Canis lupus familiaris: one gene and its partners. The protein of the gene in region 1 binds, or shares a complex with, the protein of each later gene. Links are inferred from orthologs where the notes say so. Each region holds a gene or a part of one and is shown on either strand. Other genes may lie near its edges. The genes, in order: EPS15, AP2A2 and STON2.

Evidence for each region.
Region 2: the proteins of EPS15 (region 1) and AP2A2 are in contact, whole or in part, in a crystal structure (PDB 1KYU), measured with the Mus musculus proteins. The link is inferred for Canis lupus familiaris from reciprocal best matches to the Homo sapiens genes EPS15 and AP2A2. Residues at the interface, in NP_031969.1 of Mus musculus: Asp629, Pro630, Phe631, Lys632; in XP_006536218.1 of Mus musculus: Phe442, Phe443, Trp446, Lys447, Asp487, Pro488, Val494, Arg511.
Region 3: the proteins of EPS15 (region 1) and STON2 are in contact, whole or in part, in an NMR structure (PDB 2JXC), measured with the Homo sapiens proteins. The link is inferred for Canis lupus familiaris from reciprocal best matches to the Homo sapiens genes EPS15 and STON2. Residues at the interface, in NP_001972.1 of Homo sapiens: Leu139, Gly148, Lys152, Pro153, Val154, Leu155, Leu156, Asn157, Ser158, Lys159, Val162, Asp163, Leu165, Gly166, Arg167, Trp169, Glu170, His176, Gly178, Met189, Val192, Tyr193, Leu196, Glu197, Lys198; in NP_001353779.1 of Homo sapiens: Trp309, Arg310, Ala311, Thr312, Asn313, Pro314, Phe315, Glu318, Gln321, Asp322, Gln324, Pro325, Ser326, Ile328, Asn329, Pro330, Phe331, Phe334, Phe335, Glu337, Gln338, Glu339, Arg340.

Annotation. Positions count from the first base shown.
Region 1 is NC_049236.1:9,930,982-9,934,504, forward strand, and holds part of EPS15 (epidermal growth factor receptor substrate 15), read left to right. Parts: intron 1-2,427; coding exon 2,428-2,621; intron 2,622-3,523. UniProt on the Homo sapiens protein: Involved in cell growth regulation. May be involved in the regulation of mitogenic signals and control of cell proliferation. Involved in the internalization of ligand-inducible receptors of the receptor tyrosine kinase (RTK) type, in particular EGFR.
Region 2 is NC_049239.1:45,693,603-45,697,802, forward strand, and holds the start of AP2A2 (AP-2 complex subunit alpha-2), read left to right. Parts: upstream 1-1,397; 5' UTR 1,398-1,539; coding exon 1,540-1,606; intron 1,607-4,200. UniProt on the Homo sapiens protein: Component of the adaptor protein complex 2 (AP-2). Adaptor protein complexes function in protein transport via transport vesicles in different membrane traffic pathways.
Region 3 is NC_049229.1:54,040,717-54,044,714, reverse strand, and holds the start of STON2 (stonin-2), read left to right. Parts: upstream 1-1,191; 5' UTR 1,192-1,319; intron 1,320-1,792; exon of another isoform or gene 1,793-2,009; intron 2,010-3,998. UniProt on the Homo sapiens protein: Adapter protein involved in endocytic machinery. Involved in the synaptic vesicle recycling. May facilitate clathrin-coated vesicle uncoating.

The DNA of each region.
Region 1 (3,523 bases):
GCTAGAGGCTAAGGTTGTCAAATATATTAAAAAACAAATGAGTCAACAAGCAATCCAACTAAAATGTGGGCAGAAGACGTGAACAGACATTTTTCAGAAAAAGCATACAGATGGCCAACAGACACATGAAAAGATGGTCAACGTTACATATCAGGGAACGGCAAATCCCAAACTACAATGAGATATCACCTCACAACTCTCAGAATAGTTAAAACTAAAAACTCAAGAAATAACAAGTATTGGTGAGTTTGTGGGGAAAAAGGAACCCTCGTGCACTTGTGGGAATGCAAACTGGTGTGGCCAGTCTGGAAAACAGAATGGAGTTTCCTCAGAAAGTTAAAAATAGAACTGTTCTAGGATCCAGCAATTTCACTATTGGATATTTACCCAAAGAATACAAAAATACTAAGGGATACACACACCCAATGTTTATGGCAGCATTATTTATAATAGCCAGGGATCCCTGGGTGGCGCAGCGGTTTAGCGCCTGCCTTTGGCCCAGGGCGCGATCCTGGAGACCCGGGATCGAATCCCACGTCGGGCTCCCAGTGCATGGAGCCTGCTTCTCCCTCTGCCTGTGTCTCTGCCTCTCTCTCTCTCTCTCTCTGTGTGTGTGTGTGTGTGTGTGTGTGTGAGAGAGAGACTATCATAAATAAATAAAATAAAATAAAATAAAATAAAATAAAATAAAATAAAATAAAATAAAAATTTATAATAGCCAAATTATGGAAGCAACCGTAGTAAGTGTCCATCAATAGAAGAACAAAGAAAGATAAACGATGGGTGTATATACATATATATACACACACACACAGTTGTATATATATATACATATATGTATGTATATATACACACACCGTGGAATATAAATAAAAAGAGTGAGATCTTGCCATTTACAATAACATGGATAGATCTAGAGAGTATAATGCTAAGTGAAATAAGTCAGAGAAAGGTGAATACCATATGATTTCACTCATGTGGAATTTAAGAAACAAAACAAATGGATAAAGGGGAAAAAAATAGACAAACTGACCATAGAAAACAGAATGGTGGTTACCAGAAGGGACGTGGGTGGGGAGATGGATGAAATAGGTGAAGAGTATTAAGAGTACACTTATGATAAGTAATGTACAGAATTGTTGAATCACTATATTGCACCTCAGGAACTAATATAACACTGTATGTTAACTGTACTGGAATTAATTTTTTTTAAAAAAACAAGAAAAAAGTGAGTCAATTTGCTCATTTAAGTTTTATACCTGTAGGATGGCAATAGCAAAGTTATTTTTTAAATCCTAAGTAAAATAGTATACTACTGTATTAAATAGATCTAAGGATCTTCAGCAAAGTAAGCATGTATCACTATCGAAGTATCAAGGCAAAAAGGATGGTTTGTTGGAGAGAGCAGTGGACTGGGAGCTTAAAGATCTGGGTGCTAATTCTGGATGTCCTCAGACTAGCTCTGTGATCTTCAGTGTGTAATTTCGTATGCCTGAGCCTCAGCTGTCTGAGCTGTTAGATGGTGGCAGTAACTAATTTGCCTACCTTCCCAGGAATGTTGGAAGGATCTAGTAAGATATGAGATATGAACATCTTTTGTAAGATGTTATACTCATGGAAAGACTCTGTTATGATTGCTATTACCAGTTTAACACATTTTAGGAGAAGTACATATTTGAAAATATTTTAACACCCGTAATTATAATTTTCCTTCAAGTAAGTTTAAGACTTTAAAATTGGAGAACTTGTTTCAAAATGAGTTCAGCAACAGTACTGTTGTTTGGTCAAAGATTAGTTTATCCACAACCACAAAGATTTAGGCCCCGAGCTTCAAAACATTCTCTATTCTTCAATTTGAAATATTGTAGATGGCAAAAAAGTAAGTGAGGTTTTCCAAGATAAGTTTTCATTGTGTTCCCAGGTGTCACATGTAGATCCCGTAAAAGCAGTAACCCAGAGATTTTTCTGAGAAAAATCAGAAGAATATGGTCATTTTTCAAAGGTCATTTGTTCCTATTGCCTCTAGTAGTTAGTTGTTATCAGGCTGAGATTACAACAGCAGAGGCCATTTCTGTCTTTCTGTCATCCTCATCCTGTTTCATCCTTTCCTCTCTCTCTCTCTTTGAGAACATGCTGCTTTGGGGAAGACAAGGTTTACACTCTGGGTATAAATATGATTCCTGGCCCGTTCCATTCCCTTTTGCTATTTTTTCATTTAGCTACATAGAGCTGCAATGTATTTGAGAGATTATGTGAAAAATTTGAGGACAGACCATTTGTGTAGTCATTTAAGACCATACTTTAAGAACGTACTTTTAGGCCCTTACCTCCATTCCCCCACTCCCAGTTCTTTAATTCTCTGCGTGTTCATGGTCTTGTGTGTTTGTTTGCCATATTTGCTTGTTAATTGTAATGATTTTGATCCAGGGAAAAGACCCATCAACAAATTGGATTCTTCTGATCCTTTTAAACTGAATGATCCATTTCAGCCTTTCCCAGACAATGATAGCCCCAAAGAAAAAGATCCTGATATGTTTTGCGATTCATTCACTTCTACTACTACTACTACTACCACTACCAATAAAGAGGCTGACCCAAGCAATTTTGCTAACTTCAGTGCTGTAAGTACTGTGAATGGGCTGTTTGGGGGAAAAATCTTTCCATTTACAGTTTAAAGAGTTTTCAGTGATTACTTTGGAGTCTGCCAAATTTGCATCATTTTAACTAAATTTACCAACATACTAAAAATGATCTATATTCCTCCCCCAACCAAAATTTCTGTTTGATTCTGTTTTGAGGATTCTAACATTGTTCCATTGCACAAAGGGTTTTAGTAGTCTTAGTCTTTGTTGATGTATACCACTTGTTTTGCAAACCCTCCCTTTAGTCTTAGTAAACAATATAAATAAAATCTTGACAGTTACTGTTTTGCAAATTGTTATGGATAATGGACCATTAGAGAATCATTTGCTGTCTGCCCACTGGATAAATAATGGCAATAATGAGCTTGTGTATTTGTAACTGTGTATGTGTGTTTGTGTATAAAGTTTTGACGATTTCTAGAGACCTGCCAGCAACTATTATTATATGAGAGGATAAAGCCAGGGATTCTTTGAAAAGCGAAACTCTGGTTTTTATATAGTAGTGTTTTTAAGATATAAATGTCGATTTTATGAAATAAATACAGTTGTCAAGAGCTAAACAGTCTTTATTTGGACAGTTCTAATTCATTAACCTTCCGTATTTACTCTGCATTCTTCCAGAGGCACACCAGTAGAAACAATGGAAAGGTGCTGGGATAACACATAGATAGGGCCAAAAGATCACAGAAATGGGGCAACCAACTATGGAGGTGTCGCTCTAGAGAGACTTAAAGCAGTGATATATATAGTCCATCGTTCAGATAAAAATGAGGCTGGCTTGCTTTATTTATTTGTTTGTTTGTTTGTTTATTTTTCCAACTTTTGAGTCCATACTGTAAGTTCCATTGGCAGCTTCTGAATGTGCAGAGTAGAATAGGAAT
Region 2 (4,200 bases), on another chromosome or scaffold:
GACAGATGTCACACAACTTACGAAACTGTTTCCAAGCACTTCATACTCATAAAGGTGGCCTGTCCCTTGCAGAGGAGTGGCCGTGATTGGGTAGGGCTGAGTGGACTCAGGTCCGAGATCTCATGGTAATAATGATCTGAGAGCTGTGTGTCTGGCAAGGTCTGGGAGCTGGGGGACAGTGTGGGGTCTTTTTCATGACCCCCTCCCCAAAGACGTACTTTGGGGAATGTCAGGAGGCTTGGGAGGCCCAGAATCTCTGAAAGCGGGTAGGATGTCTGCGCAACTCCAAGCCTCCCTCAGAGAAGCCTTCCACCTCTGCCTGAGCTGGCAGTCTGTCCATGCCCCACGTAGGTCCCTGCAACCTCTGGGCATCGTCCTGTTCCATGAGTGGCTGCCGTGAGTGGGTCAGGGTCTGCTTGTCTGAGTCCCCTGGCTTGGCCATGGGAGGGTTATCTCCAGGTGCCAGGATGTGTTCCCTGTGGATCTCCCCTCCTCCAGGAAGCCCTCTCCAGGCCCAGCTCTTCAGAAGGTCTTGGAGGCTGGTGAAATTGCTTCCTTATAAGGATTCCAGCGTCCAGGGTTCCGGTTTCCCCCAGGGGGTCCTGCAGGCCCAGAGCCTGGGTGGGGCGCCTCGTCTGTGGCAGGGGCCCCACCCCTTCCTCCTCCCGGCCAGGGTCTAGCCAGCCCTGACTTTTCCCTGGGAACTGAGGAAGTGAGCCAGGGAGGGACAGACCTCTTTTGTGGGTGGGGGCCTGCACCAGGTTCTGGGGCCCAGACAACCCCCCTCTCCCCCTAAGGAGAAAGCTTCCTTTTCGAAGCCATTTGGCTTCACAAAGGGAGCTCAACAGGGCCACCTGCTGTCCACACAGACTGGGGGGTGGAAGGGTGGGGGAGTGTGGGGTGGGTGGTCCAGGCTCCAGGCCTCTGTTGACCACAGGGACGGTCCTCCGTGTTCACGTCTGGGGCAAGAGGAGGTGGTGGGTGGTGGCAGATGGCACAGGGCTCTGGCCGGGCCTGGAGGGCTTTAGGTCTAGACCGGCCCGCGGTCCGAGGGTGCGGTGCGGGGAGGGGGTGGGGGTGGGCAGTCCTTCGTGTTCAGGCCTCAGGAAGGGGCTGGTGGCCCTGGGCAGCGGTGACGTGCACGTAAGGCCCTCGGGGCTCCGGACGCAGACCAGTAAGCTGCCCCAGAGCCTGGGTTGGACAGGGTCGTGGGGGGCGGATGGGGAGCCTCGGACACGAACCCCGTGCTCCCGCCTGCAGGGGGCGCCCCCGCACCTGCCTCGACGCGCTCGTCCCCGCTCCGCCCGCAGCCGCGCGCGCGTGCGCGCGCGTGCACGCGGCGATCCGCGGGCGAGCGTGCGCGCGCACGCGAGACGAGCGTGCGTGCGTGCGCGCGCGCGGCGGCCCTGAAAGCGGCTCTCGGAGCCTTAGGCGGCTCCGGCTGAGGCGGCTCCTGAGGCGGCGGCGACCCGCTCCCGGCTCCCCGCTCTCGGCTCCTCCTCCCGGCCCGCCAGCCCAGGCCGCTCCCCGGGCCCGAAGATGCCGGCCGTGTCCAAGGGGGACGGGATGCGGGGCCTGGCGGTCTTCATCTCCGACATCCGCAACTGTGAGTGGCGGCGGCGCGGGACCCGGCCTGCGAGGGGCGCGGGGGCGAGGGGCGAGGGGCGCGGGGGCGCGGGGGCCGGTGCAGACCCCGAGGGCGCGGGGCAGGGGGCGCGGGGCGGGGTCCCGGAGCCGACGGGGGGCGCGGGGGCAGGGGGCGCGGGGGCCGGTGCAGACCCCGAGGGCGCGGGGGCCGGGGGCGCGGGGGCCGGTGCAGACCCCGAGGGCGCGGGGCAGGGGGCGCGGGGCGGGGTCCCGGAGCCGACCGGGGGCGCGGGGGCAGGGGGCGCGGGGGCGCGGGGGCCGGTGCAGACCCTGGGGGCAGGGGGCGCGGGGGCGCGGGGGCGCGGGGACGCGGGGCGGGGTCCGGGTGCCGACCCGGAGGGCAGGCGTCGGTGGGGGGGCGGGACGGGGTCCAGTGTGGACATGGAGGGCGGGGGGTCCGGGGGCGTAGGGTCGGGGTGCAGGGCGGGGGTCTGGGGGTCTGGGTGCGGGCCCAGAGGGCAGAGGTCGGGGGCGCGGGCCTGGGGTGCGAGGGACCTACAGGGCCGCCGAGGAGGGCGCAGGCCTGTGGGAGGCAGAGTCGGGGGCTGGGCCTGGGGCCTGCGGGTCAGGGAACAGTGAGCAGGGGTGCGGGGTGCAGGGCAGGTGGGGTTCTCCAGTCGTGGGGGGGCTGTGGCGTCTTCGACAGGGTTCTGGTGAAGACCCCCCCCCCCCCCCAGCATGATGTCATCTGGAGCAGTCTGCTCATCTTTCTAGTAATGGAGCATTTAACCCAGCGTGTTCCAAAATAGCGTGGATTTTCAGTTTGGGAGTGGGGGCAGCGAAAGCTGCCTTGCCTGGGAGGCAGCTCCGCCCGGGTCCTGGTGGCTTATTAGGCCCTGATGAAATGACTCACTCCCCCCAGGAGTGCAGACACAGGGCAGTGGAGGGTGGGGTGGCTTTCGGGTGGCTGCCCTGGCTGCTGGCCCCTTCTTCGGGACACTCGCGTCCCCTCACAGTGGAAGAAATCCACACCAGAAGCGAAACAAGCCAGGAGGCAGGTGGGGGCTTCCGTCTGTAGAGAAGCTACAGCCTTCGGAGATCTCTCCTTTATTTAATTAAAGAAATTAAAGGCAAAACCAGTTTTCCTATCTGTTGCATCTTATTATTATTTTTTTATTACCTGCCAGATAGTTGATTTTTATTGCCTTAGGGTTAATGTATGTTTTGAAGAGAGTCTGTAACCTCACTTGCTGGTAGATGCTGTTGTGTTGAGCCTTGCCTTGAAGCCCTCACCTCCTTAGACGGGGGCACCCAGATGCCAGCCTGCTTCTCCCCCAGAGAAGCTCTGATCTTCTGTCCCTCCCCTTCCTGTGCGAGAAATCGAGAAATCGGAGTGGTAGCACACTCAGATCGGAGTATTTACAAGTAGGCAATATTTTTCTTTTCCTTCCTGTGCTATTTAATGTGATTTCAGCTTTTGTAAAGCTGAGTGTGTGTGCGCTATCACTGCAGGGGGACCCTTGGCTAAAGGCTTAGCAGCCTTAAATTAGGAGTGATGTCAGTTCTTCCATTTTGGAAGAAGAATGCAGTGGGCAAGAAAGACATTGAGATTGAAACCCATTTTCTTGACAGCCGGTCACCTGCATATTAGACATGTATTCTGTGCTAGGTCTGCAGTTGAGTGGAAGGTAACTGCCTGCCATATGGGAGGACTCGGCAGATACTTGTTGACTGACCTTAGAGCAGACTTTCTCCACCCCCCACACTGCTGAGATTGGGTTATTTCTTGTGCAGAGCTGTCCAGTGGTGTTGGACAGCAGCATCCCTGGTCTCCATACAACGAGGTGCCTCCATTGTGACAACCAGCGGTGTGTTCAGACGTTGCCCTACGGGGCAGAGTTTTCTCTGGTTGAGGGCCTACTGATATAGACCAATGAATAGGATAGTCTCTTCCCCAAAGGAGCTTAAGGAGGAAGGGCTGCCTCATTTTTCTTGGGGCCAGGTCTCTGTTTACTACAGTCCCTTCCTCAGGACCACCTTTCCCACCTCATGCTGCCCTTGGTCTTTGTTTTGTCATAGTGCCGCACTTCTAGAGCGGTGTCATGGGTCTGTGGTGCTGTGCCCTCCCCTTCACTATGAACCCCACAAGGTAGGCACCACATCTGTCTTGCTTGTCATGTCTTTCCGCTGCTTGCACAGCATCTGGCATGAGACACGAGCCTAGTAAATGAATAGATGAGTGAGCCAGAAAGGATTTAGCTTCAAGATGATTCTCATGCCCATTTTGTCTAAAGAGCACTGCAGGTCGAGGGCCAAGATGTGATGGAGCAGCAGGGAATGAACGTTCTGAGCATGTGTAGGCTGGCTGTGGCTGGGGATAGGGTCAGAAAGCTAACCCTGGCCGGATGGATGACCAGAGCCATCTGAGCTTAACCCCCTGGGGCAGGGAGCTGGCTCCAGCTTCCCCTTTTCCCACCTCAGATTTTGTGTGCTCATTGGTTTCTTGTGAATGTGATGGATGTGGCCAGGCTCTGTGGAGAGACCCAGCTGCCTCTCACCTGCTCCATGACCTGAAGCCAGTGGCTGCTGAGCCTTAGGTTTCTTCAGCTGATG
Region 3 (3,998 bases), on another chromosome or scaffold:
TGTGGGACAGTGGTTACATATTTGTTTCAAGGCACCCATGCAACCAACGTCAAAGGTGCTAAAATATAAACTGTGCTACTTGTTTCTACTCACTGTGGCCTACGGATGCTTAGAGGGGGCTCCTTTTATGGGTGGTAAAACAAAGTTCTGGCAGCACCCTGATTGAGACTGGTTGTTCTTATTCTTTAGAAAGCCCCAGTTCAGGTGAGACAAAGTGTTGGGAGGTAAAGAACTACGGGAGAAGAAACGGAAGAGGAGAACAATTTTAATTCCCGATGCTCTCTCTCCATTCTAACTTGTGCCTCTTAACTGCAGCGTGGAATGACTGCTGGTGTGTCTTCCAAGATGCAAATGTCTCACACTCCAGACCGACGGCACTTGGCCACACGTTTCACAGGACATGGGACATCCCTAGGTCGGCTGTTTCCTGTTTTTCTGTGTTAATAGATGCAAAGCATTTAGGAAAGTGCTAGGCAAATAATATGTGCCATGGGAAAAGTTAGGATGACTATTATTATTATTATTATTATTATTATTACTATCAGCTTTATTATTCAGCCTTATCTCCCTAGGTGGGTATTAAGGTCCTTGTAAAGGAAGATCTGACTCACCATCTTTCTCGCTTCTCCTTAATTTAATGCGATTAGGACCTCGCACAAGTTGCTTCCTTCTTTTGCTGAGTCTGGCTGGACCACCTGGAGATAGATCGTGCGTCCACACACACAATTTGGCGCCCGCTGTTTACAAGCCACTGTCCTACGCCTTTTTTTTTTCTTTTACAGCAAAAAGCATAAAAATGAACACGAAGTCAAAATCCCACGTAGGAGTGAGGCCCGAGGAGCAAGGACCCCCCCCCCCCGCCCCTAACCCCGCCAGCCCCGGTATGGGGTATGGGAGGGGTCCCAAGGCGATCCCCACTCTCCGCCACCCGCAGGCTCCTCGCGCTACTGCTCGGCGCGGGGCGGCAGGGGCCCGGCTCGGCGCCTGGGTCTCCGCGGGGCGGTGCAGCCGGGACGCGGGGCTACGGCGCCGCGGGCACCGGGAGCGGGTCCAGGCGGCGCCCCGCCCATCTCCCCGCCCCGGCTCCCGGCCGTCCAATCAGGGCGCGGCTCGGGCGCGCGCGGCGGCCAATCAGGGGCGGCGGGAGCGGCGCCGGGAGCCGGCGGGCGCGGAGCGAGCCTAGAGAGCCGGGAGCAGGCGGCGGCGCTGCGGCGCGAGGGAGGGCAGCGGGAGCGGCGGGGCCCGCCGAGGATCGCTCCCCGGGCCGGCCCGGCTGCTCTCCCGCGGCGGCCCTCCGGACGGTGCAGGCGGTGTCGCAGGTAACGGCGCCCGCGCTCCGCGCTAGCGGGCGAGCGTGCCCCGCCGGTGGGGCCCCGCAGGTGGAGCGGGCGGGGGCGGGGGCGGGGGCGGGCCGCCGCGGGGTCCTAGCGCCGCGGGTGCCGCCCCTCGCCCCGCGGGCCCCCACCCCTCCGCGCGTGCCTCGGTCGGAGCCCGGGGGTGGGGGGGGCGCGACATTTCCACCAGCCGCTGGCGTGCAGGGGCGGGAGGGGGTGAAGTGAGCCCGGCCGAGGCGGGCGAGGTGGGGGGGTCGTCGGGGAAGACACCTGCGACTCCCTCACCCACACGCGGACGCTGTTTGCCGACGGGTGTCTTCTCGGAGGTGTGAGTCCCCGCGGCATCTCTATCGGCCCGAGTGGGGAGGCGGCAACAGGTGTCCCCGGGGACAGTGCCTTCCCCCTCCCCCCTTCCAGCCCTCCCCGCGCGAAATCCCGGCCCTGGCGTTGCGCCTCACCTTCGGGGTGTCCGGAGACAGGACCCCTGCCTGGCCTCTCAGGCGCTCTGCCCGCTGGACAGCGCCCAGAGGCGGCTGGACCCGGCAGACCCGGGCTTTGGATGGAGTTTCCTCCGCGCGTTGCCAAGCAATTTGTTGGACACCCGCCTCTTGCTGGGTAAAGAAGAGTTGAAGATGAAAGAGAGAAAGAGAGAGAGAGAGAATGTGTAAGTGCATCTGTTGCCCCTGCTGAAAGGAGCTCCCTGAGGGCTGTGGGTGAATCATTAACCATCGTCTTGTGCAGCAGCTCCTGGCCTCTGTAAGGGACAGACTCTCTCTCTCAGGCAGGTCCTTCATGCTCCATGTGCCTCACTCTACTAATCTGTAAAAGGTGCAGATAGATGATTGCATTTGCTCCATAGCCTTGTTTTGAGGATTAAATAAACCACTGCGGGGGACAGGGGTGTGGGGGGTGGGGGAGGGGGGAGGGACATCCAACACAAAGCTAAGTACCCAGTAACTGCTGGCTCTTACATCAGATGTATCCTAACTGGCCCGGTGACCATTTGGAGCTCTGAACTCACAGGGGAAAAATGCAATCATTAATGTTACCTTTAAAGGATCCATCCTTTGAGGGATTAAAAAAAAAAAAAAACCTGTTGGAACGGTGGAAGAGATAAATGGACTCCAATTAGTAACCGAGAAAAGCGTTGTAAAGCTTGAAAAATTTTGTTTTGGATTGTTATGAATGTTGCATGAGGAGAATATCTTGGTAACTTTGTTGAATGCTCATCTTTGATTGGTATGACTGATGGGGGAGGACTTGAAGGTTCTTCTACTTTCCAGTCCTCGGTTAAAAGAGTTTAAAGAGAAGGGAAGGAGGAGAAAAACAAATAAAAAACCCAACCACACGACAAAATGCCAGCAGCTCTTAGAAACCTAAAATTGTAGTTCTCATGTTAGGCAGTAATTCCAGTGTCTGACTTGGGTGGTCTACTTCAGTTCTTTGCCACTATGTCACTTTTCTACGCTTTTCTTGTTCGTTTACCTAAAATATCAATGTGTGGCTGACTTCCTTGGAATTCTGAACTTAGCATCCTACTTTATGACAAACCTGAAAGGACCCATCCAAATGTTCCATAGGGCAGTGTCAGTGGGACTCTGCCTGTCTTATCACACCACACTACCTGGGAAAGGTACAAAATGCACATTTGCCAGGAGCCTTCGAATAAATCCATCCACTTAGAGAAAGTGATTATCTTCTCAGGGGGTAAGAAGCCCACTTCCAGATGCAAGTCTTTCAAGTGTCAAATTAATTCCACATCCTTTTAAGTTGTTGATAGGGAGACTTTTACTGGCTCAGAATGGGAGGATCTGAAAGCTTGCTGATGGAGGAGTGAGGGGGGTGTGTGGGGCACAGGAAGGATTGCTGAGCTCAGAGCCAGACCCACACTCTGTGAAAACTCTGTTTCTGTGGCCCATGATTAGGAAACCTGGACAAGTTGCCTTGCTTTTCTGAGCCAAAGTCTCTCACTCTGTAAAATGAGGGCTCAGTTTTTTTTCTTTTCCTTTTTTTTTGAGAGGAGTTGTTCTAAGGATAGTACTAATGAATGGAAAGTCCCCAGCAAAGTTCCAAGGACATAGTTACAGGCCTGTAGCATCCAAAGGGGATCCTGCAGGTGGGAGTCGATCTGTTATACCTAGGAACAAAAAAAGACTTGATTGAGAGGATAACACCTGAGCTGAATATAGAATGATAAGCAAGTTTCTTATGAAGATAGGATTGAGGTAGGATTGGAAGGAAAGAGCAGAGGAGAGAGACATTCCAGACAGAGAGGCAATGGGAGACCAAGTGTGCTGTAATGATCAGCTTAGGCAAAATAACAACCCCCGTATCTCAATGGCTTACAAGGTTTATTTCTCACTTATGCTGTATGTCCAGTGCAGGTCAGTGGTTCTGCTCCTTATCTCTTTTCATTCTGAGTCTCCCAGAGGCTTAAGAAACAGCCTCTTTCTGGGACAATACCGATCTCATTTATGGGAATGGGAAAAAAGAGAACATGATAAAACAAAAATGTGGCATTTAATACCTGCTCAGAAGTAGCAGATTACTTCAATTCTTATGCCATTGGCCAAGGTAAGTCACATAGCCCAACCCAGTGTCAGTGGTATGGGGAATGGTTTGTTTTGAATTGCAGACAGTGAGGCATGGCTGAGTAGAAGGGAC